Struthio camelus: one gene and its partner. The protein of the gene in region 2 interacts with the protein of the main gene of each other region in a biochemical or structural test. Links are inferred from orthologs where the notes say so. Each region holds a gene or a part of one and is shown on either strand. Other genes may lie near its edges.

What was found.
Region 1: the proteins of DNM2 (region 2) and SNX9 form a complex in vitro, tested with the Homo sapiens proteins (2 studies listed by BioGRID and IntAct, with this or other methods). The link is inferred for Struthio camelus from reciprocal best matches to the Homo sapiens genes DNM2 and SNX9.

Annotation. Positions count from the first base shown.
Region 1 is NC_090944.1:77,911,389-77,923,303, forward strand, and holds the start of SNX9 (sorting nexin-9), read right to left. Parts: upstream 5,834-11,915; 5' UTR 5,660-5,833; coding exon 5,648-5,659; intron 1-5,647. UniProt on the Homo sapiens protein: Involved in endocytosis and intracellular vesicle trafficking, both during interphase and at the end of mitosis. Required for efficient progress through mitosis and cytokinesis. Required for normal formation of the cleavage furrow at the end of mitosis.
Region 2 is NC_090972.1:4,733,489-4,745,348, forward strand, and holds the start of DNM2 (dynamin-2), read right to left. Parts: upstream 5,236-11,860; 5' UTR 5,092-5,235; coding exon 4,931-5,091; intron 1-4,930. Other genes in the region: uncharacterized protein, read right to left, coding at 6,025-6,229, 6,433-6,571, 6,972-7,132, 8,454-8,680; QTRT1 (queuine tRNA-ribosyltransferase catalytic subunit 1), read left to right, coding at 11,310-11,531. UniProt on the Homo sapiens protein: Catalyzes the hydrolysis of GTP and utilizes this energy to mediate vesicle scission at plasma membrane during endocytosis and filament remodeling at many actin structures during organization of the actin cytoskeleton.

The DNA of each region.
Region 1 (11,915 bases), on a different chromosome or scaffold from region 2:
GATCAGATGTTTGAGACGAGGAAGGCAATTCACAGAGGGAAAATATCAAAACAACAGTGTAAAATAAACTTTATTACAAAGCTGCAGTAAACTGTAATGATTGCTGAAATAATACACGGAGAAAATCTACCACAGCGAACACTTGAATCACTGAGTCTGTAAACCAGAGGAAACTTACCACATCTGATATCAGACTTCCTTCTCTTTAGCTGCTAGAATCATATTTTTAAGTAACCACCTCTGGTAATGAGTCTCCAATGACTCAATCCCCAAGTGCTTAAAATAACTTTGAAAAATTGAGTCACAGGAATCACTACCCAAGCATAACATAACATCATACAGATTCTAATCACCTCTCCAGCTTCCTAACAGAGTTTAGTTACACAGAATCAGGTTTTCTAATAAGAAGCCTTGTGCCAGTAATTGCAGGAATGTAAAGGAACCCATTTACCACAAAGCTTCAAACAGCCATAAAGCCAGAGACAAGAGAGCAGAAAAATCTGTATCTTAATAAAGCAATACAGTGCCAGTTGTTCTTGTGCTGTTTAACTCATCCTGACATCTCACTGTATCACTAGGTCAGAGACTTGATTAAATTTGCATTACTATGCATTTTCACCTTCCCTAGGACTTAAAAAAAAAAAAAAAACCCAAGAAACACTTTCACATTTATTTAGTTTTAAGTTAAAAATAAGCAACTTTTCATACCACTAAGACAATTAAATTGAAAGGATTTACAGACATAGGATGTGATAGATCAAAACACAAAGAATGACAAGATTGTGGTTGGTTAAGTCTTGATTTGCTGTATTTTCTAACAGTGGAACGCACAGACTGGATTACGACGTGATCTGCACGGGAAAGTTTCAACTCACAAATATATTAAGATCTGTTAACTGAATATTTTCTTAAGGTATGACTTCCTAGAAAAGACTTTTGACTTTCAACGTGATGACAGTACAGAAAACAGACTTGTGTAATATGAAGTTTGGTATTTTGGAACATTTAGCATATTGAGGGATACACCTCACTTTCCAGCTGCAAATCAGAACAGTGAGAATTGGGTCTGCTTGATTAAGGCAGACATACAAACAGTTTCATGATGACACAACTGAGAACGCTTCAGAGTGAGACTTCTTTCAGAGAGCTTTGCACTGGGAAGAACAATACAGAATAGAAAGCAAGCTGACAGGAAGGATACACACCTGAAAAAAGTAATCTTTAAATCTCTTTAGTGCCATTATTTCTTCCGCCCCCCCCCCCCCCCCAAACTTTCATGATCTTTCCTCAACACAGTTGAGGAACCATGCTAAATCATGCACAATCATGCTAAATTCAACTATGTAACAACATTTAAGAGATATTTTAGGGCAATTAGATGTACGAAAGAGCCTTGAACAACAACAACATATCCCCATGTATTCAAAATACTTGCAAAGCTAGACCTTCTTTTAAGAACACGGTATTCATTCTAAGAACTTTCACCTCAAAGGACTTCCTCCCACAAAAAAGGGCCCAGTCCTATAAACAGAATCAAACAAGTGAGTTCTTAAAATAGACAGGGCATTAAACAATACAGAACATAACACTGAGGTACAGGTGCCCAAGGTTACAGAGGGACAAAAAGCCTCAATAATCTTACCAACAGGGGTCTAACCTCATGGAATTCATCAACACTTATCTTCAACCTGTGAAAGTAGTGTCACTAACTTCAGCACTACTACTCCTATAAATCAGAGTTTGAAGGATCAGTTTCTAATCCCAACTTCAACTTTTAAATTAACACCTTCACTGTACACTAGCAGCACAGGTTCCAGAAGACCAGTCTTGACCATCAGCATGCACTTCACCTTCTGGCTTTGCTTGTTATCTCTTCTGAAATTTTGACTTCAAAGTGCAAAACATCAGGCTTATTCAGAAAAAGAATTGCTTATATTACTAAATAATAAATGCCTCTAAAAATAGCCTGAGGTAGAGAGCACATTATTTCAAAGTCAGCATATCACTTCCTGACATTTCTAGCTCTCCCTATTCAACAAAACTCAAACAAAAGAATCTGCTACAGTTTGCGAAGTCCCAAGTTCATGCAAGGAAAGAAGAGCAAGGAAAGGCTAAAGTCATCAAGAAGTAGGAGGAAAAAAAAAGTATTAAGAACGTGAATCTGATCTGTGTTTGGAAATTTTAAACATCATTATATACTTTTACACTTGGGCACTTTTTGCCTTCTTTTTATGCACAGTTTAAAATAAGGAATCAGTGTGCTAAAGTCAATGTGTCTGAAGGAAGCATCCAAAATAAAGTATCCAGCTTGATGCATCTGTCCTTAAACAGGGATTGGCAATTGCCTACCTGTAAAGTAAGACTCAGTAAAGTTACCACTCCTCAAAACACTGGAAGCTGGGATCTCCTAAACAATCCAATGATTTTTTTTTTTAAAAAACATGGCTCAATTTTTGATGCATGTGACTTTGAGTAAGCCTCTAAGGAAACAGAAAGGCCACAGCCAAGTTACAGTAAAGATACACAAGCAGCCAGCCAAAGAACTGCCACCAAAAGGCTTGGATTCTCCTTTTCCCATTTTCCCCTTATATTTCCACCTTCCACCACGAAGGCTCTTCTCCCCTGCCAGAGATTTAGTGTTGGCTCTGAGCAAAGTGTCAGCCACTTTTCCTCTCTAAAACAGGAGGAAACTGTCTCACCATTTTCACCTAGGATGTTTTCCTTTTCCCCCTCCCCCTCTCTTTTTTGTGCACGCTATTTTAGCAAGCTACAGTAGCTCGGAGACAGGCCTGACAAGCACTGGAGTCAACTCCCAGTAAGTTCAGAGAGTCCAGGACTAGGAGCAAGGCAGAAGGAGTGGTGGCAAGGAGCAGCTCATATCAGACAGAGCCACAGCCTTCACAGGATTTAGCCCTGCAATCATCCCTGCCTCATTTCAGAAGACTGCTTCCTTTGCAGTTAAACAAATATCTAGGAAAGCATTAGCAAAGGCCTTCTTTGATAGAAATAGCAGTCTTATCCTCTAAAAACTTTGCATTATTGCAATAGAAAATCACATTAGCTTAAATGGTATAGGGAAGGGCCAGGAGATCACAGTCTTAAGACTGTTACCATGTCTTCACACTGCAAAACTCAAGGAGTTGAGTTGGTGCAGTTTATCAGAGTGGGAGCTAGAAAGCAAACTGATCAGAGCTTACAAACGCGCTATGGAAGAAATGCCAGTCTTTTCCCTCTCACCCCAGCAAAACTCTAACAATTGGACAGAAGTGTTTTTATAGCTAGTAGAAAAGAGGATAATAAAACTGGAAACAGAAGCTAGGCAAGTTCAGTTTCAAAGTAAAACAAGTGTCAACAGCAAAAGAGTTGATGGTTTAATTAAAAAAAGAAGAAACAGGCTGGATTTTCAATTACTGAAACAGTGCAAATCTAGATTGAACCCCTCCTCACCTCTGGAAATATATTCTAGGTAAAACATGAATTAATTCAAGAAATACTAATAGCCTGCACAGTACAGGCAGACCTGATTGCCAGATATCTCTGCCAGGTGTGTAGGTTCAAATGCCACTGAAGTTTGAGAAATTCACAGTCCAAGAGACTAATCATAGTTTAGCCTTGTTAATGTTCTATGTGCAACTCCAACATACTGTGTATTTCTTATAGAACTAAACTATTTTGGAAGGAGAGGAAGTAGAAGGTGGGAAGTTTGTTTACAATTAAAAAAAAATAAATCTTATTTTTCGAGTGAAATAGTAACTGGTTAGTTGGCCGAGTTCCTAAACACTGTTTATTGTCAGTCACTCCCTTGCACTGTTGAGGGGAGGAAAAATTTTTTTTTTTTTTTTTTTTTTTTTTTTTACAGCTGACATTATAAAAAGTTTAACCAATTAAAATCCAGAATAGGATAATTAGCAGAGAGTGACATACCTTATGGGTCAAGCTTACAGAAAATAAGGTCAGCTTCTGCTCTGTTATCAGTATATCAAAATAAAAAAGTCTTTGCTAACTATCATTTCCTTACATCAGCCTTCAAGTTAAAGTAAATTACCATAACTTGCAAAGTGTAGAATAAAAAAAAAACCCAAATACTTGCATCTTCCTCACCTAATTTCAATAAAGTACTGCTAGCAAGTCAGAACTCACATACCCATCATTCTGAGGCCACGACTCCAAAAGTTTATTTCAAGAAAAATCAAAGTGCAAGTTTCCAAATGTATGAATAAAATGACTTCATTAATTAGGCACAGAATAAGCAGTCCCGCACGTCCTCAAGATTAGATGATAAACAGTATCATATTCCAAATGCTTAGCAGATAATATGCATTACTTCTATATATGTGCATAATAGTATGCAATTGAACTTTTCTTACTACCTGCCATAGCTACATGTGTTTACATGTTATTCATACACACACCCCACAACTCTGTGGAAACAGCCAATATTAACACTGAGTCCGTTAACAATATTCTAAAACCTGAGCACACAGGAACACAGAGTTCACTATACTAATACTTCTTGAAGTGTCTAAATGATTTTGAAGCCTAAACCACTTTCTTCTGTGCTTCTAAAAAAAATGTTACTAGAGCATGAATAACCATCTGCTTCAATGGTTACTGAGACTGCTACATATATATGAGGTTCAATATATTTAAGATACGGATTTCCCAAATACTGAGAAATACAGTATGAATAAATGATGTCGTGCCCGAGAACAGTTTTTATTAAAGGAAGTTTTTTAAACTACAGGCCAAGTTTATTGAATCAGGCGAATCTGAAAGCACTACTTCAAATACCAGAAAGCTTTCTGCAATATTTAGACAACTTACAGATGACATTTGTTTGTGGATGTTAACTCACACCTACACAAAGCAGAGGCAAGCCAGTTTTACCACTTTCATCCACTAATATAGTAAATAAATATTGCTAATTTAGAAAGAGATCAGTTTCGGATAGGATGTACTAATTTTGATAGCTACATTAACAACAGACACTGTTGAAGAACAGAGCAAAACAATTTCACTTCCTGCAATTTTTTTTTTAATGGACCCTATTATTAACAAGTCGCAAACTACAGACTTGAGACTCCCACTGGGGGAAAGAAAAAAAAAAAACACCCACCCACAGCACGCCCCTGTGCCTGATGACCACCGAGCAGGTTTTTTATCAGCCGCTCGGAAACACCACTTACGGCCTCCCCTTCGGTAACCTTATTTTGTCGGGCAGGTACGCGACAACACCGCAGGGGGGGCGGGTTACACATCTCTCCCTCCGCCCCGCAGTGCGAGGCCGCCAGGGCCAGGGCCAGGCCGGCCCCGCACCTCGCCCCTTCCCAGGCCGCCGCCGGCCTCGCCGCCCCGCCGAGGGACGGGGGGCAGCGGGCGGAAACGCAGCCGAAGGCAACTTTTCCCCCTTGGCCGGAGTTGGCGCTGCCCCGGCGGCCGAGGCCCGGGCGGGGAAGCGGGACCTCCGCCAGCCCCCGCGGCGAGGGCACTGCCCCCCCACCCCACCCCCCGCTCCTTCCCTCCCTCCGGGCCCCGAAACGCGGCCGTGGCCCACACGGTGCCTCCCGCCGCCCCCACAGGGGGTCACCGCCCGCCGAGCCCCCTCCGCGGGGCCTGCTCGGCGCAGGGGGCGCCGCCGGCTGCTCACCTTGGTGGCCATGGCGCTGCCGGTGCGGTGCGATCCGGGCCCGGCCCGGCCGCCGCTCCGCTCTCTCCTCCCCTCCCCTCCCCTCCCCGCCGCGGTTGCTCGCTCGCTGTGTCCGGCCCGCCCGCCCGCTGGGCCGCGCAGGCAGCTCCTCCTCAGCGTCCCCCCCCGTCGTCGTCGTCACCGCCACCACCGTCACCGCCGCCGCCTGGGGGCCGTTGGGCGGCTCAGCAGGCAGCGCCGGCTGCTGGGCAGGCGGCGGCTAATGTATCGGCGCGGCGGTGCCCCCTCCCCGCAGCCCCCTGCCGCCCTGCCCCCGCCGCGCCCGGCTCCCGCTGGCACCGCCCGGCCGCCGCTCCTCCGCGGCCTCCTCGCCAGGGCCCGAGCCAGGCGGGGAGGGAGGAAGGGACGGACGCACCCGCGGGTAGCGGGCCCCGCAGCGTTTTCTCTTTCTAGTCAGCGTTTGCCTTCCAATTCCCGCCTCGAGTAGCGGGCCGACCCGCTCCCCCGCCCCCCGGCGCGGCGGGGGTGGCGGTTTAACGCCCGCCTGTGCGGCAGCCTGCTGCCTCAGGGCGTTGTTAGCCCCGGCGTCCGCTGTCAGATGCCGCTTCAGACGCTGAAAATCCACCCGCCTTTCGCTGTCTGGGCGGAGGAGGGTCAACAGAAAGTCGTCGTCCCTCGGTCGCTTTTGAACGCCGGTTTCAGAACAACTGTGTATCAAATAAAGAATAATTTTTCCTCGGCCAAGCTCCCTCGGCGGCTGTCGGAGATGCGCTTCATCCGCGGCCTCCTGCGGCAGCTGGGCCTTGCTGCCTGATGGTTATTAAGAGTAGAAAATAACATCAAGAAACTGCTCAGGATCCGTGCGGGTCCCATGAGACGCTCCGCCAACATGTGGCAAGAAATAGCTGTGGTCCCACTCGATTTATTCCTCCTGATGGGAGGCTAAGGGGGGGGGAAGCCAGCGGCAGCGCTCAGAGGAGGTACGTGCAGCACCGCCTGCGACTACGCTGTCTTGTGGGTATGTATCCGCGCGGTGTTTGATTTGGATCGGTGGATGTTTAACTTCTGCAAAAAGAAAGAAAGAGCGTAATTGTTAAGACCACCAAAGAGATCCCTAAAAGGCAGGTGTGCCGTTGAGACGTAGCGTAACTCTTGTATAGCCATGTTTCCTTGTCCACAGAAACGACAAACCTCTCTCCTGCTCTTGCTGTACTTTCCCACTGAGGCCACTTTATCAAAAGCGAAAAACAGATCCACACTTTTTTTTAAGTTGGAAAAAAGGTTTTGTTTTAAGTAGGATGAGTGAAATACTTTCTGTGGAGACTGAGGATGAGGAATTAACATGAATCCGGCGGTTTAGGAGCCACTACTTTTCACACGGTTGAACTGATTAATTCGAGAAGTTTTGGAACCCCATTATTTCAGTTTTTAACTTTTTCAGAATTCAGTTAAATACGTGCGACAGTTCCAATTTTTTATTCTCTGTAACAGCAATATCTGAAGTGAAACTTGCAGGTGACCCGCGAATGGCCTTCTATGATAGTGCATTTAATCTGAGGTATTCTGTTAAGGATCTGTTTTGCTGTGCGGTCCCTCCCAGACTCATATTTCATCCATTTTAGTAGCTCTTTCTGAGCAAAACTCTGTAAACCCCTGCTTTGTCTGCATATTAATGGAGCCTGTCCTTCTACTTTCTTCCTAATGAGCTTTCCAACATTGCACATTTTGAACTTGGTCACACTGGTGACCTAGTGAAGATGCTTGTTGCCCTTGGTGCAGGTTAGGTGGAGATAGTCTTTCCTCTGTGTCTATATGGCGTGGGAGAAGAGCCCTACAAAAGGCTGACTGAACAACAGGAAGAAAAGGGGAAAAGGGGCTTCAAAGCTTGGGTATAAAAGAGCCTGTTTCTTTCTAAATCCACAGGAAATAGGGGTTTATCCATAGTTGGAAAGAAATATAGCGTACTGCGGCGTTGCTAGAGCCAAAAAAGAGGGAGTTCTAGGAGAAAAAGCAAAACTTGCTAACGTCTGCTTGGATTTGTGCCTTCTTCAGAATATCGGCTTTAGGGATAGAGATCCTAGACAAAGGTACCATGTACACGTACCACAGTGTAAAGGAAGCATAGCTGCATCTGCTCTGCTTAGAAAGGAAAAAGAGCCTGGGACTGATTTTCTGCTGCTGGGGCCAATTAGCGGTATCTGCCTCATGTCCACAGTGCCTAGGGTTAGCTCCCTGTACAGCAAATTTGCCTGGCTGACAGATAGCTGGAATGGTTTAAAGCCAAGTTAGCTGGGTGGGTAACGATTAAGTGATGTGGATGTTCAGGATCTTGTGCTCGTGACCGCTCCCAGGCCCTCGCCCCTGTAAGGTGGCCAGACCTGCTGCAGAGCTGGGGTAAGAACCAGTTCTCACAGGCAGCAGGCTGCAGTGACTTTCTGCACCTAGAAACACCAGTTTGTGGTTGAAGGAATTTTGAATCTTATGAAAATGATAGAGGTGTGTGGAACCGAGGGACTCGGTGTTGTCTTCTTTAGGGATCCCCTGCTGATAGGTATAGGAAGCACCCTATATGCATTCACCTTGTTTTGATATGTGATTTATAATGCACTCGAGGCTTATTGCATAAGCTTGAGTCTGTATCATTCTTTACTTGTGGTCAGAACAACTGCCAGAAAAGCTTAAGTCTACAGCTGCCAACCAGTACGCTTTAACAGAGCACTGTGTGCCCGTCTGAGGCATGAGGAACAAAGTCATGATTTATTGGGCCTCTCTATATGCTTAAAATCTTCCATTTACAATCCTCCTCTGTGAGTTACTCCTAAAAATAAGTCTTGCTTGACACATTTGGGGGATGAAGGAAACGTTAGCATCTCTTTCAGGGAGAAATAATGTTCTGGGAAAATTATTTTGATGGGTGCTTGCCAATTCTATTTGCAATTAATTGCTGTTAGTTCTTGCATCTACAAAGATTCAGAATCTCAGTAATCACTTTGGATGCCAAAGAAACATATTTCTTCTTAGCTGCAAGCTTTATTATTGCTTAGCACTAAGAGCCAAATACCAATGAATTGCAAATGAATGTCACCTAAAATTTCCAAAATTTTCTGAATTCGTTAATTTTCTGCAACCAATTAAGGGTAGATTTTTTTTAGCACTAAACATGTAAGAAATCTCACTGACTTCAGCCGGATTGTTCACGTTCTTAAGTATTTTGGTACGCTGGAAGTAGCGTGCTGTGTACGTGGCTTACCAGCTCTCAAACACAGTTGCCTCATTATTCACTTTTTACTAAAACTCCAATGGATGCTTTAATAGTCAAAAATCTCCATCCTAGAAAAACCTCATCAACAAGAGAAGAAAAGCCCTTACTCGGTGCATCAGTTACATTTTTTTTAGTATTCTCTTTATAGGTTTCTGCTAGATACATATTTTTTCGGTTAACTTGTCTACAGTAATTTCCAGGAGCACTTGCCTCAGCAGAATTCAGTGAGAAGTGATCTGTTCCAGAGAAAGGGCTGCCTAATCACATGAAAAGCTCCTGTCAACAGCACTCTGCAAATTTTTTAGTTGAAGCTGGACTCTGGGAAAGGATTTGGAGAACATTCCCCAAATACTGTTCTCTGCTGGGCAAGGCCTGCCTGTAACCAGTGAAAGTCAGTGTTCCTACAGGTGCTGAGTTACCCAGGCTTTGTAGGGAACGATAAAGAAAAAAAGTGAGGATATTCAGATAACCTCCAAGCTGAAAAACACCTACAAAAGAACTTTTCTGCAAGGAGGTTGCAGGCTCCTAAGCTACTGTCCTTGGGCGCGTGGTGGGGTGGTGTGCCCTTGAGTGCTCCCTGCTAGCAGGCTCTGCCCTCAGCATTGCCAGCCTGGTGCAGAGGGGTGACCTCAAAAACAACCAGTGACACTGAGGAATTTACCGCGGCCACAGAGGGACCATCTGGGACGATTTCATTATGTTCAGTGAAATAAGTGGCAACAACTTCGCAAATGGAGTGGTCCGGCAAACACGTGTAATCCTAAAGTCTTTTCAGGAGACGCGCTGAGAGTGTATTGTCCTAGTTCTTTATTTTCAAAGGTATTTTATGAAATGAAAAACAGGGGGCTTCTTGTGGGTTTTTTTTTTCTGATTGAAAGGGTTGAAGGCTATTGATGTGACGTGGGATATGTGCTAAAAGTTCTGCAATAACATCAGTTCCACATTGCATGTTTTTACCTCAAGAATAGAAAAAACATAATAACAAAAGTAAATTCAGCTGTGTAGTTCAACACTGCTAATTGATCAGCAAAGGCTAACAGTGCCTAGGGAGTAATTACAAAAATAGTTTAAGCTTTTTTTACGCCAGTTTTTGATCGTCGTGGTTGCCTTAACTGCATGATACACCTCTTGTTTTAAAAAAGAGCAGAGATCTCAGATTTTCAAAGCATTTTAAACAAATTGTTTAACTTAATAAATCAACACATAACAGTAATGTGTTCCTCATTTGCAAAACGCAAAACGCGCATGTATGTACGGTTTCATCTACCTGTCCCCTCAGAGGTTCTTCTACTGTCGTGGCTGATTTCCCTGCCACTAACCAGGCAAGTCTATTTTGGAGCTGGGTTAACGCTATTTCTTTGGTGCTTCTGAGAAGTTTGCAAAGAGCAGTATACAAATATTACTTCCTCCCCTCTCACCCCACAAATTGGACAGAAAACTGTAGGTGCTATCACATGCATGAAACCTAATGTTGTTTGCACAGAGCAGCGGTGGAGCAGCTGATGAAGCATGTTTGCACATCTCTGTGTATAATAGGGCATCACTTGCAAATTCTTCATGAAAAATATATTTACTGAAACACGTTCCAAGGAAAAATGTGAATCTTTGTCTTTATTATACATTGGGAGTCTTTTGCCCCAAAAGACTTTGAATCATTTGGTATTTGCATCAAAGTACTAAAGCCTCTCATTTAGGCAGAACTTTATATGGCAGTGTAAAATCATGCTCAAGAGATGACAGACACACTCTCAAATCTGACTCTGTACCTAGTGTCATAGGACATGTGAGATCACTATCAAACTGGAAAGCCAGCCAGTCTTGAGATACCAGAGGGTGTTAAGTCCAGACTTCCCTCGTCCATGAAAACTGCTCTAGAAAAAAATTGCACCCCGAATTGCAGCCAAATAGCTCTCAGTTTTTCATTCCCAGATATTTGTCTCTGAATAAGCAATTATGAGAAAAAACTGTGCTTACAATGTGTTTGCTTTTCCCTGAAGCGCTTTGTGTCCTTAGAGCTCATGATCAAATGCCATTATTACTTAATCTGAACTCTGGCATACTGTATGCTAATTTCCCCAAGTAAGTTCCGATCTGACAGGGTTACGCTTTTGATAAATACACAGCTAATATTATTTTTCTATCGTGTGTGAAAATGATGTTCTTATTTTCTTTTGCTGGGGAAAAAAGTGCTATGAGGATAGGAGTTTGGGTTTTTTTTTTCTTTGTTGGTGATGGTTTTTTACACATTGTTGTGAAGCCAACAGTTTTAAGTCATGCTGGACTCCCGGACTTAATTTTCTCTTTAAAAACAGAAAAAAAAAAACCTGCTGACCACTGAAAACATGTGAACAAGCTACACAGAAAAAAAGTGTGGGTGTACCAGAGACAAAACATTGTTGCAGTATGCTTTTGGACGTAGCCAGTTTGGAAGAGTATTTTTTCCCTTTTTTGTGGAGCTGATTGCAGAGCTCATGTTTTGGTGCAAATTTGGTCACACTTCCAAAAGGCGATGTGGGCTTAAACACCTAGTGCAGATCCTCATCAGTGAGCTCCACAACTACAGCAGCAAAGAGTTTGCTTCCTCAAGATAAGCTATTATTTCTTCAGCTAATTTTAATAGTGTGTTGCATAATGTCTTCTTTTCTCCCTTTGTCCCTGTAAGCATAACAAATGTTTTGACCACTTCTATATTTTATTCTTTTTCTGCCTTAATAGCAGAAAAATCAGTAATAAGTATTATTTTCTTACCAGCACAAGCTTTGAAAGCAATGATATTAAAATTATGGCTTCTTCTGCAAGGAACTAAATAGACTTCCTGAAACACCGGACACTAATGTTATTCTTACTGTCCTCCCTTTTTGCAGTCCTTTTTGGCCTGACTACCCCAAAGGACTTTCATGGCCTGTACACTGATGGTTAGTTTATTATATGTGCTTGTATCTGACCTAGGATACTTGTGCATGCATATGTGTCATACACTTTAGATGTTTCGCATCTGGATTTTAC
Region 2 (11,860 bases):
TACAAGGGCTCCAAAGATGGGGTAGTCAATGCACGTTTCATCAGGACATCAACAGAATGACTTTTAATACAGCCAGTAATGTAATTTTAATGCAGTATTTTAGATTTCCTTTTGTGCTTTCCCCAATAAAAAGAGAGGAGAAAAGCAAGTCGCTTCAGACCCCTGACAAAGCATACAGTAGTCATCAAGACCAACTATTATGTTGATGCCTGCTGAAACAGATGTAAAGGCAAGACAGATTCCTTCCCCCCCGAACACGTTTCAGTCCAGCATCCAATTCAGAGAAGATTTAGTGGACTTTAGGCAGCTGAACTCAGTTCCTGGCTCCTCCACAGGCTTTTTGTATGCTCCAGAGCAAGTCCCTTCCTTGTCTGAACAGGGCTCGTAACCCTTCTCACGTACACTTAGGCCCCGGAAGGGACCACCGTATGCGTGGTCATAACGTCCCAGTACTAAGGTCCGTTAATTTCAACTGAAGCTTTCTTCAAACAGTTGAAAAATACCTGACCTGGGCCTTCTGGAGAAAGGATGTAAACCTCCCATTGACTCCTTATCCAGTGTCAACACTCAGCTGCATTCACCAATCACCACCCTTAACTCAATCAGCTAAAATTACTTTTCTGAAGAGGGAGCAGCGGATCTCCCCAGGGCTCCCTACGACAAGACTAAGGCCGGGATGTGAGGGGGTCACACGGAACAGAGCCGAAATCCCCTCTTCCACGTTACTGCTCAGCCAAACGCCTGCTCCTTAACACCACCCCAGACCTACCCTCCTGCTAACCGAGGCTTGGCTACGAGATGCAGCAGGCCTCAGATACGTCACCGGCGAATCTGGCACGGCTTGCTTCTGGAGACAGGATGCTGGCTGTGAAGTGCTGCTTGAGTCGGCTTCCTATGTTGGCATCTAGCAGCCCTTCCGACTTCTTACCAGGTCAGAAACAAGAAGCCGAGAATAAAGATTAAACTAGTGCAAAAGGGTGGTTATCAGCAAAAAAAAAAAAAAAAGCAAAAAAAAAAAATCCACCTCCTGTTTCTACCCAGCTGTCAGCAGCCTCCCCAGCCCCACAAAGGAAGGAATCTTTCAGAAGTTCACAGGAAGCTTCCTCAGAAGGAAACACCATTAACTGAAGTGGAAGGCCTCCTCGCATCCCCTTGCAAAGCTTGAGCTCAAGTGCAGTGACAGCCACCACAGCGGGACTTCCGGTAGGAGGAAATCAGAGCAGGTAGAAAGATCAAAAAAGCTCAAAAATCCAGCTGTTTCTTCTGGGTTGTTTATTCATCTTCAACTTGGAGAAACATGGACACTGAGCACATCACCAACAGGTCTTCTCTACCACCTGCATCGCACTGCTACTGTAAACTTCCCAACGGAGGGTTACACCTTACAGGCTGTTTACAGGAAGTTTTCCCGTTTCTATCACATTTTGTGTACTAAAAATACCACGCACTAGTCAAAGAGCAACAATTAGTTTCAGAGACCGCCTTGGTTAAGTACTGCTCCCTTCCTAACGCTAAGGGCACGTCAGTCTGTGTTTATGCATTTATACAGACATACATTTAAAAGCGGCCCCTTCGGCTTCATGAAAAAACCTCTCGTGGATAAAACGAAGCTTGTCCCGAAGCGGTCAAAGCGCCCTGTTTGCAGCGTGCGGAAGCCTGCTGTATTTAGCTTGCTATCTAGAGCAAGTTTCATGCAGCACGGCTGGTTTATTTTGACAGTTGCAATAGCCTCAAGGACAAGACTAGCCCAGCAAACGAAACCAGTCAACATCCAGCCGTACATCCATGAGAAACACTCGATGCGTTCCCCCATCAGGCGCGGAGTAAAAGCTGTCGAGCCGTCACCCAGCTGCGAGGGTGAGATGCGGGACCGCGCGTGGCCGGCACCCCAACGGGGTCAAGTGCTGCGCGCAGATAAGCAGATGGTCCCTGCTCTCAACCATTTGCAATCTTACCAACAGGTTTGCCAATTCAGGCCTATTAATCCTTCTTCGTGCTGAATTTTTGCGCACAGCTGTTATAATAGAGTGTGTAACTATAATCTGTATTCCTCGTTATTTTATTCCCAAACACTTCAGTAGGTGCGTATAGAGAACAGTGCTAGAAAAGAGCGAGAGAAGCAGATGCTAACACGCGGGTATTATCACCACACAATGACGACGACCGAGCTGATTGTTCAAGACTGCTGAAAACGCAGGGACACCAAGCAAAGGCAGAATTTACTGCATACGTAGTTACCTGATTATTAACCCAAGTGCATCAAGGCAGAACAAAGTTAGTGCCGTGAGACATAAGTGAAATATTCCAGGTTACAGAGAAAATCACACAGATCAAGTCCCACGGAAAGCCTTCCCGTTCAGACCCTTTTTGAAAAGGGAGTCTGTGGAGTGCGGTTAACCCCTTAGTGAAAGCCTTCTGACAAAGACTTAAATGCTCTGAAACAAAGGTTTTTAATTACTAGGCTGGTTTTCCAGCAGCACCATAATTAGAGGCTGCCAAAACTTCCACTGGCAGCTATTTATGAGGGGTAACAACTTGACCGTTTCAACCCCAACTGCAAAGAGACTTGGCAGAACTCATCGGCCCAGATGCAAGTTTAGTCTGGCAAAGTTAGACCTGCCCTGGTCCAGCTGACTCCTCCTCTCCCTCCCACACGAACAACAACGGGCTCAAAAGGCATCCTCAATTGCTTTGCAGGCTGCAAATCCATGCTATGAATTAAACCCCTGTGAGTATAAAAGAAAAGGCAAATTGTGTCAGGTGATGCATCACAGAGCAGGCTCCGGATCCTGACCTCACCTCTAGGAAAATGTTAAGTAAGCCGAAATTTGAACTGCGGAAAGCACAACAGTGGAGAAAACTCACGCAGGCCTTTCAAAAGATCCCTTCTCTACCGATAAAGGAAGCCACAGCGACCACGAAGCCAACAAATCTAAAGCGCTGGAAAAGACACTTGGTCGGCTGTGTGGAAATAGGACGGTATCCCGTTACGTCAGACCCGACGGCAGAGCAGGGCCGAGTCGCTGTTGTGTTGTCAACGGAGAAGCAGATCCGTGCACGCTCCTGCCGGCCAGTGTCAGGATGAAATGACATCACCGGAAATCTGCTATTGTTGCTATTACGGCATCCGCCCCAGCCTCGACTGGAGCCCCGTTGTGCAATGAATTTTTTAGGCACGGCGAGAAGCAGCCCGCGCTACAGCGAGCTTGCAAGCCTAGATCAAGCCAAAGCGGAGCACAGGAACAAAGCAGAAGGGGTCAAGCAACATCCTTTACCCCGAGCGTGGAACAAGTGCACGCAGGAACGGAGCAGCATTGAGTGCCGCCAGCTCTCAGCCCTGCGCTGCGCTATGAATTGCAGGACCGGCGCCGCCATCCCCAGAACGGCAGAGACAAAAGGTGGAGAAGGCCGAAGGACTGACTTCTACCCTCCGCTCTCAGCGCTTCGATTCAGAAGCGGAAGTTGTTAGCAGCTACCACGGATTTTGAAAGAGTCAGCAGGGTCATATGAAGCACACGGAAAGATTTTTAAACCCCACAGCCTTAGCGCAATATAAAATCAGGAGCGTTCGGCTCCCCCACGTTATCTCGACAGCCACGCTCTCCTCCCCACCCTAGCGCATCCCAGGCCGCGTGTCAATCCCTTATCCTGCCAATTCCGACCGGCTCTACAGCAGGGTCCTGACACCCCTCCGCTCCTGGGAGAGGCCTGGCAGAGAGCTCAGCCCTATCACAAGGGCACACAGCTGAACGGCACCAAACACGAAAGCCGCCCAAACCCAGGTGCAGCGATGACTCCAGGCCTAAGGCTATCAGAGTGGAAACAGAAGCGTCTTTAGGATGCAACTCAGCATTAACCTTTGTAAGTTAACACAGTCATGTTGAAAATTATAAACCGGAGCAAGACCATGCTCTAACGCTGTCAGGTCTCTTGTCAAGCATCGCAACGGGATGCCGTGCCGGTTGTTTCTGATCAAGCCTGGGCTTCCCCTGTCTCCGCTTTACACATTTGCACTCCGCAGGTCAGCCCAGCGTTTCTGGAGCGCCTTCCGGGCACCCGCGCAGGAACTCAAGGATGCTGACGGCCGTCAGGACGAGCCGGCGAGGCCCTGGCACCGCTCGGCGGGAAGGCTGCGGCGGCCGCGCTCGCGGCATCCCGCGCTGCTGAGCTCCGGGGACGGGCTGCCCCAGGCCTCAGGGAGGCGGACGGGGTTGGGGGGGGGGGGGGGGGGACGCACGGCTACTGAGTCAGCAGGGGCTGGTGAGGGTCCCGGGGGCCTAGGCAGGGCCCTGTGGGGGGGGCACCAGGCAGGGCCTAGTGGGGAGTCCTGGGCCTAGTGGGGGGGGGGTCCAGGTAGGGCCTGTTGTGTGTGTTTTGGGGGGGTCCTGGTCCCCGGGCGGGGCCCAGCGCAGCCCCTCCACACCCCTGCACCTCCCCCCGGTGTTACCGCGCATCCCCAGCCCGGGGACCCCGCTCCGCTCTGCTCCCGGGCCCGGGCCGGGCCGCACCGGGCAGGCGACGGCGACAGAGGCCCGGGACTGGCGGAGCCCCCCGCTATTCACAGAGCTCCCCTGCGCCAGCGCCGCGCGCGCCCGCCACGGCCCGAGCCCCCGCCTGCGCCGCTGGCGTAAGGGCCGGCCTGTGACCCGCTCCCCTGGGCCGCGCCTTACGCCAAGTGCGTAGCACAGGGCCGGGCTGCCGGGATGATCCGCAGTTTGCGTAGCGGTGGCCGGGCACGGGGCGGGGGGGGGAGGGGGGGCTGCTACGGCGGCGCTCGCGCCCCCGCCCGCCTCGAGCCGCCTTACGCAGGCGGGATTCACCAAGCGCGCTTACGCCAGCTGCGCCGCGCGGCGGCGGCGGGCGGGCGGGCGGCTACGCAGTTTGCGTACGCGGCGCCCGCCCCTCCCCGGCGCGGCGCGGCGGGACTCACCGGCCCACGAAGTTCTCGAGCACGGAGCTCTTGCCCGCGCTCTGCCCGCCCACCACGGCGATCTGCGGCAGGTCGAGGTGGCAGCTCTGCCCGATGGAGCTGAACGCGTCCTGCAGCTTGTTCACCAGCGGGATCAGCTCCTCCATGCCCCGGTTCCCCATGGCGGCGCGGAGGGCCCCGCTCTCCCGGCGGCGGCGGCGGCTCCTCCTTACACAGTCCGCGGCGGCGGCGGCGACCAAACTTCCCCTCCGAGTCTCCTCATCCGGCACTGGCGACACCCCCGGAGGCGCCGCTCAGCCGGGCCCGCCCCGCGCCCCTCAGCCGGCGCCGCCATTGGGAGCCTGAGCCGTCAGTCAGAGCAGCCGGCCGAGCGGAGCGGAGCTCTTCGCTGTCACTCAAGAGGGAAGGCGGGAGCGGGTCGCCACGCCCCACCTCTCCCTTTTCATTGGTTTCCCAACGCGTCGCTCGTTCCTACCAGCCAATGGGAGGTGGAGCTGGCCTGTCAGCTGAGACGGCACAGCGGCAGCTCCCGCCCCAAGACTTTGTTCCTGCCATTCTATTGGTAGAGAGGACTGCCACTCCGGGAAGCTAGCGAATCGCTTCCCGAAGGAAACTAGCTTGTTCACCCCTCCCATACGCCCTTGTCATTGGACAGCTCCTCTGCCAGTCTACCAGACTGACCAACCCAGGGCGGGTACTCCCTGACGAAAAGCCGCTCATGATTCGCCAGCCAGCCGTCAATCACGAGCCCCATTGATGCTCTGCCGCTTTCTCCCTTCCCGGGCACAGCCCAATGACGTTTGGAGATCCCCTACCGTACGTCCCCGTGTAGAAGCCCATGTCTTGCTACCGCATGTCTCCGAGGCGAGGGCCGGAGGCTGCACTGGGGCCAGGGGAACCCCCCTCCCCTGGGGACCGTCACCCCCCAGCGCAGCCACCTCGGGCCACGCTCAGAGTCCTCTCTGGCACCAACACACCAGCCTGGGGTCACATTCAGAGTCTTTATTTTGCACCATCCTCCCATCACAGCCCCGCCACGGCACCTCCTTACCAGCACCCGCTGGGGACAGCTGGCCCGAGGGCTCGGACGCCCCTCACTCCCTGCCACCTTCCTTCCCCGCAGCATCCTCCGCCGTGGCGGGAGGTCCGCGGGAGGCCTGCGCTGCCAGGGAGGAGCGGGGACGGGCCCGCGGGCTGCCACGGCTCCGGGGGCACGGCGAGGCAGGGGCCTGCATGCCCGTCACCAGGTCGCTGAGCCCTGCGGGGAACTGGCCGGCGCAGAGCAGGTCCGAGCTTCTCCTGGAAAAGAAGGATGGGCTGAGCACCCCTCGCCTGCCCCACCGCGAACGGGGCATCGGGCATAGGTTACGACGAGTCCCAGTGCCAGGAGGCTCCAAGCCCTCGCAGGAGGCAGCGCGGCAGACGGCGGCGCAGTTGGCCGAGGTGGCCCCCGGCACGAGCCGGCGGGGAGCACCGGCGCTCTCCGTCCTGGCGCCATGTACCTGAGGTCCGCGGGGCTCTGGGGGCCGCTCCCCGGGGCGAGGGGGAAGGTGGGCAGCGAGCGGCGCTGGCGCCAGAGGTAGCCCGCGGGCAGGTCCTGGGGCAGGTCAGCATCCAGGCGCTCCAGGGGCAGGGCCATCTCTGCGGCAGGGAGGGCAAAGGCACCGTGAGCCTCCACCCCACTGCGTCTTGCTGTGCGTCTTGATGCTCATGTCAGACTTGGGGAGCAGAAAAACCCCTTTCCACACTGCAAATGCCTTTGGGCATCCCCAGGGCAGCAGCTGAGCCCCAGCACCTGGATTTCAGGATGCCAGGACCAGCAATAGAGGCCTCCGAAATCCAGGTGGGACCAGAACACCCTGAGAAAGCTGAGTCCAGCGGGCCGGCACCTCCTCCAGGCTGGATTGGGAGGGCTATCTGCCCCTGTTACCTTCCCCAGCACAGACCAGCAGGGATTCAGTGAGAACCAGCTGGACACTAGCAGGGTGTATCCCTCTTTCTAAGGGCAATCCTCCCTCCTCCAAGCACCTCGCGGCCCTACCGCTCCGGATCCGGCTCAGCTCCGGTCCCAGCAGCTTCCCATCCATGCTCAGCAGGATGTACTTCTCCACGCGGAGCTCCGGGCTCAGCTGGTCCACCGTCCGCCGGTTCGGCCGCTCCCGCGCCTCGGTCCGCGCGTCGTGCACCGTGTTCATCTTCCAGCTGCGGAAGGGAAGGACAAGACAGGGTCTGTCACGTTGCTGGTCACTTCAGCGCTGGGCTCGGCCGGAGCCATCCCAGCCAGCCCGCGAGGAGGTCTGCGCGGCGTCGGACAGGGATGCAGCCCCATTCCTGGGGGTGAGGGGCTGCCATCCTGGCTACCCAGCTCTACAGCCCGGTCGCAGCCGCATCCCAGGCCGTGGGCGCTCTTCCGAAGCCAGCAAGGCTGCACCCGTTGCAGATGCTGGCTCTCCACCATGTCAGGTGGGCCAGGGAGGGATGCTGCAAATTTTGGACACATCTTGGCTATATATCCTAGCCATAAGGAATTGGGGGGGGGGGGGGGGGGAAACAGGGATGCCCAGAGAACCATTCCTCCTCCAGCTCCATTTCGTACACCACAGGCTGCAAGCTGGACTCATCCCCAAACCACGAGGCCTTTGTCCCAGGGCTGCGAACGGCACCATATGCCCTGGTGCCAGCCCGGCTGCACCCACAAGGCTCTCCTCTCGCTGGAGAGATCAGGCAGCCTCGCTGAAACTGCACCATCATCCCTCTGCGGAGAAATAAGAGCCGTTCGGACTCAACGCCGTGTCGTTTACGGCCCCCAGAGCCCCCATCCAGCCAGGGGAGCTGCGGCCTCCTCCAGGCAGCAGCCCCCCGTCCCAGCCATTTACAGCAGCGGCGGGATCAATCCTCGGTCCGGTTTCGCCCCCGGCAGAGCCGCCACCCGCGCGTCCCGGGGGCTCTGGCAGGCTGCCCGTCGCTCGCTAGCCAAGGTCAGACCCGAGGGTGCCCGGCGAGCTGGCCGGCGCTGCCCTGCTCCCTCCCGCGGGGCAGGGCCCCTCTCCGGCCACGCGCGTGGAGCCGGATGGCTGCGGCGGGCCGGAGGCAGGGGAGATCCGTTTCCCCGCTCACCTGAGGGAGCCCGTTTGCGCTCCACGGAAGCGGGTTATTCGAACCCGCTCGCGTTACCATAATCTGGGCTCAGCCATTTCGCTTGGACACAAGAGAGCTGCCCCACCGGAGCAAGGAACACTCTGTTCCTAGAGGAGGAGAGGAAAGAAGAGGCAACGAAGCAGAGGAGACAGGTTGGATTTGTTGGCACCGCTTTCTGCAGATGCACCAAGCCACAAGCACAGCTTTCAGTCCCCAGCGATGAGGAGGGAGGGGCAGCACGGGAGGCTGCAGACGGAGATGCCAGCAGCTGCTCACTATTTCCCCTTCCTCTCCTTCTCTCTGGGAAAAACTAATTAAATCCCTTGCTGCATTAAGCAAGCCTGTTACCAGATTTCCAGCGGCAGATTTCTGAGAAAACCCTTGCCTTATTTCTGGAGGAAGAGCAGATGGAGGGGCACACGGATCAGCTGCGAGCAGGCCAGACCGCTTCAGGCTCTGCTCGCAGAGGTGACACAGCTCTGGGAGAGACTTGTTCTGCAAGAGCCCAGAGGAGGGAAAGCTGGAGCTCGATCCAAGCCAGGCTGTCGCACGGCTCAATTTCTCTAAGCGCTCATCCTTCATCCAGCTAGTTAACGCTGGAAACAAGCTCATCGCACAGTTGTGCGGTTCCCCCCCGCCCCAGGAGGGCCGGGATGAGCTGCCGGCTGCTCCGACACGTGCATCGGCAGGACATCCGTGCCCCCGCCAGCCCACCCCGGGCAAAGAGGGGCTCCAGGGCAGGGCTGCCGGCAGCGTGCCCGCAGCAGGGCCGGGCTCTCCGTCCGCGGCTGCAGCATCCCTCGGCCCGCCCCAGCCGGAGCGCCCCGCAGAAGCGGGCTCGGGCGCAGCCGCGCTGGGCACGGCGCATCCACGCAGCTGAGGCCGAATTGGGCCGCAGAGCGCAGGCACGGGGCCGCTTTCGCGGAGACGCGCGGGAATCAGCCGGGCGGCTCTCGGCCGGGGCTCACCCGGCACCGCCGGGAAAGGTGCGGGACGCCTCGGCACGGTGCGCGCCGGGTCTGCGCCTGGCCCCGGCCAGAGTCCCCACCGGCACCCTGCTAACTAGGGAGGAGGAAGGTTTTTTGGGTCATTTCTGAAGGCTTTTTCCATTTAGCATTTTAAATGCAAAACTCTTATTTGTAACAGGATACTGCTGCTATATAGGACCACCCCACAAGCAAGACTAACAGCTGTTGAAGTTGGAGCACAAGGGAAAAGCTTCCTCTGAGCCCCTTGGATGTCACCTCTCTGCGTTTTCAGGCACATACCTCCTTGCTTTAGGGAGAAAGCCCCCATTCCCCCTTACCACCAGGTGTTTAATGGAGGTCCCGCACCTCCAAAGGAGGTCTGACATGGGTAGGCAGAGCCCCCTGCGACAGCCCAGCCTCGACAAGCTTTCCACCAGGCTCCCCTTAAATAAACTACGGCAGTTTTGGGAGCTGGCGCCCCAGCCCCTTGCTGAACCAGTACCCTTCCCAAGGGACGTTACTTACTTCAGACCGACCGGGTCCCACGCACCAATCCAGGACGCGCTCCTCTTTCACACTAAAAGCTATTTAGGGGGGAAATGATGTTCTGCCAATCTAAAGAAACAGGAACAGTGATTTATACCAAAACAGGGACCATTCCCACAGCTCAGGCTCCCCACATGCTCCCTCATAGCTGTTCCCCAGCAGCTAATCCTCCTTTTATACCCACGCTACCCTCAGACGACCTGATGGGGGGCACCTGGCCCTTACCTGGCCTTAATATCCCCCCCCTTCAGGACCCGGCTCAAGTGCCTGGCTGCTGATGCATAACTCTCTAAGCTAGTACCTGCTCCGAGTGTTTGGGGCTAGGTAGCCCTCCAGGCAAGGTTATTTCAAGGTTATGGTGAGAAATCCTGGGTGCGCTCGGAGGAAGGGCAGAGCTCCTCTTACATTGCATGAGGGGAAACTGAGGCCGGGCAAGGCACCGGCTTCCCCCCGCGAGGCCGCCCCGCTCTCGCTGGCACCAGCGATGGGGGACGGCCAAGGGCGAGCGCCTCGGTCAGGCCCTGGGGAGCTGCGGCCGAGGCCAGGGCCGCAGCGAAAGCCGGTCTGGGCCGCGGGCGGCGAGGGGGGCAGGCGGGTCTCTGCAGCCGGGGAGACCCCAAACACGCGGGGACCGGCTCTGCCGGGGACGCCCCGCTCCGGGGTTGCCGCTGCCACGCGGGTGCCGGGATGGGGGTTGTCCCAGCGCTTCTGGGGTGGGGGGCGCGGAGGCAAAACCGGGGGAGGAGGGAAGGTTACCCACGGGGATGTGGAGAGGCTGGGAGTGGGGGGGCAGAGGAGGGGGTCTCCCGGGGGATATGGGGCTGGGCAGGGGGGTGAGGAAGGGGATCTCCATGGGGGATATGGGGCTGGGCAGGGGAGCAGAGGACAGGGATCTCCATGGGGGCCACGGGGTGTCCCCTCGCAGGATATGGGGGATCGTGGCAGGGGGGTGAGGAGGGGGCTCTCCCCTGGGGGATATGGGGGATCGTGGCAGGGGGGTGAGGAGGGGGCTCTCCCCTGGGGGATATGGGGGATCGTGGCAGGGGGGTGAGGAGGGGGCTCTCCATGGGGGATATGGGGGATCGTGGCAGGGGGGTGAGGAAGGGGCTCTCCCCTGGGGGATATGGGGGATCGTGGCAGGGGGGTGAGGAGGGGGCTCTCCCCTGGGGGATATGGGGGATCGTGGCAGGGGGGTGAGGAGGGGGCTCTCCATGGGGGATATGGGGGATCGTGGCAGGGGGGTGAGGAAGGGGCTCTCCCCTGGGGGATATGGGGGATCGTGGCAGGGGGGTGAGGAGGGGGCTCTCCCCTGGGGGATATGGGGGATCGTGGCAGGGGGGTGAGGAGGGGGCTCTCCCCTGGGGGATATGGGGGATCGTGGCAGGGGGGTGAGGAGGAGGCTCTCCCTGGGTGACACGGGGGGGGTCCCCTCAGGGGATATGGGGGATCGTGGCAGGGGGATGAGGAGGGGACTCTCCCTCAGTGACACGGGGGGGGGTCCCCTCACGGGATAGGGGAGATTATAGCAGGGGGAAGAGGAGGGAGCTCTCCACAAGGGATGTAGGAGAACAAAGCAGGGCGATGAGAAAGCACATCGCTCCCCCCTCCCCCCGGCCATGAAGGCCTAGGGCCGAGGCTGAAGCCTCAACATGGCGGCCGCGTTGCCCCTGGCGACGGCCGCTTCCGGCGGGGCGGCCGGAAGCGGGGGTCACGTGGCGCGGCCGAAGATGGCGGCGGCGGGAGCGGGGCCGCTGCTGCGGGTGGCGGCCGAGTGCGGGCGGAGCCGGGCGCGGGCCGGGGAGCTGCGGCTGCCGCACGGCGCCGTGCCCTGCCCCGTCTTCATGCCCGTGGCCACGCGCGGCACCGCCAAGGGCCTGACGGCGGCGCAGCTGGCGGCGCTGGGCTGCCGCGTCTGCCTCGGCAACACCTACCACCTGGGCACGCGGCCGGTGAGCGCCCCGCCCCCTCGGCCCGGAGCCCCGCCCACACCCCCAGCCCCGCCCACACAGCCCCGTAACCCCGCCCACAGCGCTGAACCCGGCCCCACCCACGCGGCTCCGAAGCCCCGCCCACAGCCCTGGCCCGGCCCACGCAGCCCCGGAGCCCCGCCCACAGAGCCCCTAAGCCCCGCCCCACAGCGCCGGAGCCCCGCCCACAGCCCTGGACCTGGCCCCACGCACGCAGCCCCTAAGCCCCGCCCACATCCCCACCCCCACAGCTCATGACCCCACCCACAGCCCTGGCCCGCCCCACACAGCCCCTTGCCCTGGGGAGCCCC